2 linked regions of the Coturnix japonica genome follow. The protein of the gene in region 2 purifies or fractionates together with the protein of the main gene of each other region. This does not show direct contact. Links are inferred from orthologs where the notes say so. Each region holds a gene or a part of one and is shown on either strand. Other genes may lie near its edges. The genes, in order: PAN3 and PAN2.

Evidence for each region.
Region 1: the proteins of PAN2 (region 2) and PAN3 purify together in Homo sapiens (co-immunoprecipitation; 5 studies listed by BioGRID and IntAct, with this or other methods). This does not show direct contact. The link is inferred for Coturnix japonica from reciprocal best matches to the Homo sapiens genes PAN2 and PAN3.

The regions. Positions count from the first base shown.
Region 1 is NC_029516.1:157,363,945-157,367,757, reverse strand, and holds part of PAN3 (PAN2-PAN3 deadenylation complex subunit PAN3), read left to right. Parts: intron 1-3,241; coding exon 3,242-3,381; intron 3,382-3,813. UniProt on the Homo sapiens protein: Regulatory subunit of the poly(A)-nuclease (PAN) deadenylation complex, one of two cytoplasmic mRNA deadenylases involved in general and miRNA-mediated mRNA turnover.
Region 2 is NC_029544.1:1,759,945-1,763,757, reverse strand, and holds part of PAN2 (PAN2-PAN3 deadenylation complex catalytic subunit PAN2), read right to left. Parts: intron 3,558-3,813; coding exon 3,461-3,557; intron 3,107-3,460; coding exon 2,987-3,106; intron 2,873-2,986; coding exon 2,753-2,872; intron 2,682-2,752; coding exon 2,553-2,681; intron 2,398-2,552; coding exon 2,198-2,397; intron 1,925-2,197; coding exon 1,782-1,924; intron 1,461-1,781; coding exon 1,354-1,460; intron 879-1,353; coding exon 780-878; intron 287-779; coding exon 210-286; intron 1-209. UniProt on the Homo sapiens protein: Catalytic subunit of the poly(A)-nuclease (PAN) deadenylation complex, one of two cytoplasmic mRNA deadenylases involved in general and miRNA-mediated mRNA turnover.

The sequences.
Region 1 (3,813 bases), on a different chromosome or scaffold from region 2:
AGTGAAGTAGGATAAATAAAGAGTAATGTCAGTTTCAAAGAACTTAGAAAAATGGATCTTGTCAAAAGTCTGATTTATTTGACTTGCTGACGTGTTTAGCTAATAAAGCCAGCTGTATAAAATGCTTGGATATCTTGAGGGCTTTCTGCTTAGTAGCACATCATCTTCTTTAACATCAAAATTGCAGAGGGGTACCTATTCAATTAATTTTCAAATTCCTCATATTTAAAATTCATTTGATAACAGGGAAACATTAGTGATGAAGGCTCTTTCTGAAGGTGTCTCCTAGAGGCTGGTTTTTAGCTGTATGCTACTTCATATTTCCAACCAAGATGGTTGTGATAAAATCTTTACTAGCAAATTCTTTCAGGAGATAGAGGTTGTTACAGGCTAATTTTTATTAATTGAATTGCTATTTAAATGGTTATTAGCTGCACAAAAGATAGATTTCTGGAGGAAAGAGACCTTGTACTTAAAACGTATAAAAGTTTTCTTTTGAAGTTGTGAATCACCTTAGTATGACTTAATAGTCAGTGTTGATTATTACCATAGTAAATGTTTGGTAAGCTGGTGTGATCCTTAAATATGTGAAAAGCATAATACTGTGTGTAAGCAGATGAATGATTGTACTTGATGACCTGTCCCTTGAACTGGCAAAGCTACTGCAAGAATAATGTTTACTTCTGGTGTCCTTGCTCCAAGAAGATCTGTCATTTATTGTGTGCCTCCTTTAAACTTCCTCTGCCTTGAAGCTGAAGAGGCCGAATGAATGAATGAATTTTTCAGTGAGGAAGGTTAAGGTTTAGCAGGAATGTGTAAGTTACTCTCCTTTTAGAAAGGCGGTGTACTCCAATTCCTAGGAAGTTTTTACCTTGTTTGGTGAGATAGAGTTGGTCAGAAGGTGGTAGTTTGATCCCTTATGAAATGGGAATCTGATTTCCGTAAGTTCTCGTGTTTGTTCCACTATCTAGCCAGACACAAGAGGAAAAAAACATTTCAGTTCCTAAAATTAGCTGGATGAATCCAAGCCAGTTTTGCAATCAAAACATAAGTCAAGCACTGGCTGTAGCTTGAATTATGCATCTTTGAGGGTGCATTGGTGTGTTGCATCATCTTTGCCAAGTTTTGTATTAGATGTACTTTGTGAAACAAATGCTAATTTATATTGCAAGTCAAATGGTTTTTAAAAAAAGTGCCTGAATTCAGAATTTCCTGCCTGAAGTTAATGTAGACTTTTTTCTCAAGCACTTTAAAATCAAATGCAATCTGCATTATGAAGGTGTCTGTGCAAAGAAGGATGGTATTTACATAGGTTTAAGTTTTATGTTTTGGGTATATCAGTCAAGGTTGGGTGATAATGAAGAATTTATACATGATACTGCCTCGTCGATTATTAAATGTTGGAAGTTTTTAAGTAGGAGACTTGATAAAAAACAAAATCATTTTAAGATTATTACAAACATTTACTTTCCCTAAATCTTTTGGAAATAAACCTAAAAAACAAACAAAGAAAAAAAAAAAACAGAAAAAAAAAACCACATTATGCTGAGTGAAGATGTATTGGTGCAGATAACTCTTCAGCAATTTGTTTGTTTACTACTATAGCAGTGTCTTCTGCTGCTCAACTTGACTGTACTTGGTAGCGAAAGTAAACAGGATCCCACCAAGATGGGATTTGTTGGTCTCGTTCATTTCTCTTTGCCAAAGTACAAAGCAATGCCAATGCACAGGAATTCTTGGTTACTTAGGAAAGAAAGTCTAGCAAATGCCAGTCCCATCTCCTCCATTTGTTGTCCTTGTTTCTGTTCTGTTTGCCACATCTGGTTTCTGTCTTCATTAGTGAGTGCCCTGTACCATGCTTTTTAACTTCTGTCACATTGCTTATCCATTTAAATTGTGCTGCTTAATCATACTTTAGCAGTTGATACAGAAACAGCAGGGATGTTCATAGACCTGGAAACATGTTCTTTACTTTGTGCCTCAACACCTGGAAGATGTGGCCAAAAGGGAAAGCTCCCTTCAGCTGCTGCAGCCAAAGGAAGAGCAAAGACTGCTACCCCTCTGGGTGGAACAGCTTTGAGGGGCTGTGACACATCCACCATCTCAGCAGTTTCCCAAAGTTTTAGCTCCAGAATTCTGAACAGAACTTTTAATGTTATCTGACTACCAAATTTTTGGCCTTTCTAAAAGAAATGACAGAAGCTCTGTTCCTTGTATGATTATATGTTCTGCCAAACATCGTATCCTTCCTCCAGAATATGGAACTGACATTCACAGTGAATAATAGCGTTCACTTCCTTACTTTTCACAGAAGTATCTTTTCTAAGAAAAAAAGTCAGCAAGTCTCTGTAGCTGATTATTAAATTCAGTCTGAAGAACTCACCCAGTGCAGTTTCAAGTTTGGCCAAGTTATAAGCACTTGAAATACTTTGTATGGGAAGAATTGAGCAGCTTCTGCAATGAATATTACTGTTCCCTACTAAATTGGGGTCCTGCTTTTAGGGTGAGCTTCAAAAGCCTGATGTTGCTTTTCACAATAACTTGTGGTAGCTGTTGCTTAAGTGAGTAAAACTGGCAGAAGTTTCTGTTGCAACTGAATCTGTATAGTGTGTTCATCTTTTAAGAAGAGTTCTACTCTTAAGGAAAATGGTTAGTAATACTAAGGATTTCTTCACAAATGGGGTTCTGTTCCATTTGTTAGCTGCACAGGTCTGTTCCTGTTTAGCTTCTTCAGGCAGTTTTTATCTTTTCACACAGGCCATAAGAGATTAAAATCTTTAAGTTGTTTTATTAAAACAGAAATATTGACCTGCTGGATTCCAGTAGGTCTTGTTTCTGGTTTAACAAATAATCCTTGATAGATATTTTTGTGTCTTGTATCAAGAAGATGTGCAATTTACTATCAGCTACTTGATTCCTCAGGACTGAGTGCATGCGTGGTTAGGAGAACCTCTTCTGTAGAGAGCAGAAGCTCTACAAAGTTTTCACTCTAGTATTATCCTTAAGATAAAGATGGGTAAATTTGAAGCTCTCAAAGATAAATATATTACCCTGAAATTGTTAGGTACTGAAATTCTCCTGTGGATGTTTTAACTACGCGGACAGCTGTATAGCACAGCTGTAACATTTAGTTGTTCAAATTCTTCAAAGGTTACTGAAGAACTGTCTTAAATGCCCTCTAGTACTGTATGTAATATTTATCTGTACTACGAATCTTATCTGTGCATGTTTTCCCTGTTAGCAAACAGATCTGATCTCCCTGGGGAAAGTTGTGTTGGCTTTGGCTTGCAATTCTTTATCAGGAATTCAGAGAGAGAATTTGCAGAAAGCGATGGAACTGGTGACAATCAACTATTCCTCTGATCTGAAGAATCTGATCTTGTAAGTTTGCTAACACACTTGTTTGCTGTTGTTTTTGTTTATTTTCCTGTAAAATGTTATTGAAAACAATGATAACTCTTTTAAATGTACAGTTGACATAACACTTTCAGATGCAAATAAGGATATGGTTTACTCTCATTAACTGATAATGCTTAATAACGTGCTGTCTGTGCAAACATCCAAAGTTAATTCATATGCGTATTTTTACAATGTAACTAATAGAAATCAATGCCCTGTTAAAGCTCCTAATAAAAGTTTATTAATGTTTTAGCAAATATACAAAGCAAGTTTACGTCCCAAAAAGCAACACAACAAAACAAACACAAAACAAAAACAACATAAAAATAAACAACACCCAAGCCTTTTAAGTAATCTTCCATACTGGGATTTATTGCTTATTATTTATCATAGCAGTGTCCTTGTCTTACACCA
Region 2 (3,813 bases):
ACAACCCTTGTGGGTTCTAAGGGTATCTGAGCACCTACACAGGGTCAGTCTCAGAGCAGCCGTGAGGCCGTTCCAGTTTAGGGTCCACAAGGAAGCATGCACAGGCAGATTATGGGATGGTTATTAAATAAGAAATGGCCCTGACTGTGGGGCAACCCAGAAGGCATCGCTGCTCAACTAGAGCTGCCACCCCAGGAACAGTCACCTACCAATCTCCAAGAGACATTTCTTTGCCTTTGGTGATCTCAAAGCCTCCTCTCTTCATCAGGGCTCTCTGAAAGGCATACTGACAACGAAACACAGGGAAGTGTCAGCATGGAGTGACAGCCAGGGCTCAGGAACACGTGGGTGACAGCCAGGCCAGCAGCAAGGAAAAGACAGAGACTGTAAAGTCAGTGACAGGGAAAAAGACAGCAAGGGAAACCCAGCCGTCCACCAGCTGTGCTGTGCTTGTACTTGGGGAAGCAGGCACTGCCTCGTTGCTCCTAGGTCCTAAGGGGTTGGGGGGAATGAAAACATGACTCTACTGAAGTCCTGTCAGCTTTGTCATGGCAGGAGATCTTGTCTTTTCCAACTCCAAATGCACAGCTCATGCTGCATGCATGACCAAACCCCGACAAGTCCTCTGCAGACAAAGTGTGGTGATGCTTGGGTGGAGAGCAAGAGACTGTTAGAAACAGCAAGATCACAGCGAAAACACTTCTGAAGAATGGGACACGCAGCAAACCCTGTGTGCCAGGGAGGACAAGCCTGTTTCTGCCCCAAAGTGTCTCCCCCACCTCAGCCTGTGTCTTCCAGAAATCTGCTTCCTTGGAGCTGTTCACCTCACAGTTAATGACCAGGACATCTGGAAGGCAGCGGATATTCCTAGTCTGGACCTGTGGAAAGAGGGAGAGATGGAAGGAAGGCAGAACCAAGAGCCCCAGGAATGGCTCAGAACTGGATGCAGCACATGTTATCCTTTTCCCTCTTCCAAAGTCTTTGCCTGCAGTGCTGCCCCCACACCGCCTGCTAGACACAGGGTGTACTATAAGGGAAACTGAGGCAGGAAGCAGACTCATCACACCCCCAAAGCCTTAAAGGCTGCATCAGAACAGGTGTGTTTGCCTCCTGGGGGCTTCCCCCTACCCCAGGGGCTTCAGATGGGATCCATATAACCCACATTCCAGCACTGAGCAGCCCCATCAGGTCATGGAATACACTGCATCACACCAGCTCACAGACCAGCTGAGGAACAGAATCTCCTGCATCCACTCAGAGGGTTCCCTGCTGACTGATGGAGAAACTGCCCCTGCTCAGCCTGAAGCACTCACGTCCCTCTCCCACACCCCCCAGCCCCCCCCTCTGGCTCACCGTGGGCTGATACTTCTCACAGTTCTCACACCAGGCCTGTGTGTTCTGCTCCAAGCAGATGCTTCTCTTTAAAATTTGGGCAAACTCGTAGTCTTTGACTGGTTTTTCTGAAGGGAGAAAGGACAATAACATCACCTTCCAACATACACATCTTTACCAATTTAGCTCAGCCAGACCTCTGGGGTTTTCCTTACAACCACCAGGGAGAAGGTCAACCCCCAAATCTGCTCTCCTGCATCCCAAAGCTCAGCTACTGGACCTGCAACCTGGGATAGATGGCTGCAGGAGTTCCTCAGGTGTCACCTCACAAATAAACCTACATCTATACTCATCCATACAGACAATGAACCCCCCCCACTTAGCTGTCCTGCCCCAAGGGGAAAGCAGTGGGGTGAAACCTACAAGCCCTGCCCATCCCTGTCTGTTACCAGTGCTCTCAGGGTAGGAGAGGGTGAAGAGCAGCGTGGAAGACACGCGGACGGTTTCCTTCCCACAGCGGCACATGCTGCAGTTCTCCACCTCACAGCTGAACAGCTGCCCAATAACAGAATCTCCCGAGGACCCAAAGGTGCTGGAAAGAAAACAAAAGGAATACGTGGGATAGCAGGACCCCAAAAATCCCTGCTGAGCAGGGATGGGGGGTACAGAGGGCCGAGCACACATCTCTGCACACAGGTCTAGACCCAGAAGCAACAGAGGTTCAAACCCCACTACAGGGACAGCTGCAGACATGCATGTTCCCATGCAGACCCCCCCTTTCCTGAGGGACAGATGAGGCATCTGGGAGCCAGACCCCCTCCCTCACTCATTTACTCTCTGTCCTTCCCACAGATCAGGGATTTACCTGCTGCCAGCCCCCCGATACGCCTGCGGTCCCTCCTGCTCCTGGGTCTCCTGGTGCAGCTGAGTAAGGATGAAACGGTTCCAGCTCTGAATCAGTCGCCCCAGGTTCACTTTCCCTGTGGCTTCGTCTGAGTCAGCCAGGATCAGCCCCAGTGCTGAAGCCTCTGGGATTGTGCGGAAAGCCCGCAAGAAGTTGCTTCCCTGGGGATGGAGCAAGAGTGTTATGTCACAACCATCAAATGACAGGAGTTTCCATCTGTCTGATGCCACCTCTTCAGGACACTGCACCACCCTGCTCCTCTGTGATCTCTAACCCACATTACTCTTGCCTCACGTTGTCTGGGCTTGCCACTGACCTGGCAGGGGTCTCCTCGGGATAGATCAAGCATGTGGAAGAGCAAGCCCAGCTCGCAGCCCAGGCAGAACTCCTTCTGGCACAGGTGGTTCTGGACCAGGCAGCGGACAGGCTCCAAAAAATACAGCACCTAGCAGAGACAGAGACATCAGGAGCGGTCCTGTGGCTGTGATGGCCTGGGCAGGGCTGGGCATCACCCACCTGGATCATGCAGTTGCAGTAGGCATTGGGGATATGGGGCTCCAGGCCTGCAAACAGAGTCTTGTTATAATGCTTGAAATCAAAATCTTCCAGCCCCAGTTTGGAGTATTTGATTGTGACCTGAGGAGAGATGCAGTGTGTCAAACAAACGCTCTCCCACACCACAGGGCATCCACAAAGTATCCAGGTCTCCCCATGGGTGCTTGAGCCCATGTGGGTCCTTCAGAAGGTTACCTTCCTGTACTTCTTGGCCACCATGTAGAGGTGAGGTTCCTCCTCCCGCCCAATCGGGGACTCAGGAACTTGGCTGAAGCTGTCAAACTCATTGTCTGCTTCTTTTAACCGATAGGGGATCTGGGAGGGAGAAGAGAAAGGAAGAGCGGCTGAATCCTGAGGTGAAGGACCACGAACCGAAACAAGCGGCTCCTGGGCTTTCCTGCCTCCCCAAATGAGCAAAGGAATAAACCAGAAAGGAGAGGGGCCCTCCCTTAACCTGCATGAGTCCTCCACACCTTCCCTCTTACGAGGGACTTATCACTGTGGGGAAACTACAGCGGTGCTGCGGGCAAGGGCGACCCACAGCAGTGTTTTCCCAAGGGCAGGGACGTGCCATGTCCACAAACCTGCAGGCCAAACAGCTCAAACCTTCCCTGCCAAAGAACAAGTGATCAACGGGACCAGGTACAGCGTCCTCCTGAGAGCTCATACCTGGTTGCGGAGTTTGGTCCTTGGGTTTGGAGCGTAACCAATGAACCCCACTTTCTTCATGGTGCGCAGAATCTCGGGATCTACTGGAGGAGCTCGCCTATAAAACACACTGTGACTCAGAGGCTGCTCTGTTTGGCAGCACTGCTTCATAGAGTGCCTTGCTGGATGTGCTCAAGGACCCAACAGTGGGTCACAAGGGCTCCTCTCATTCAATCATTCCCCCCCCAACCCCCAACAAGAAGCTCAATATTCATTTTCCAGCTACAATAGAATACCAGACAAACACAACACCCAGCTGCCCCCAACCCTGAACAGGAGAGGGTTCTCTTTACACCAGCTTACACTGGGAGAGA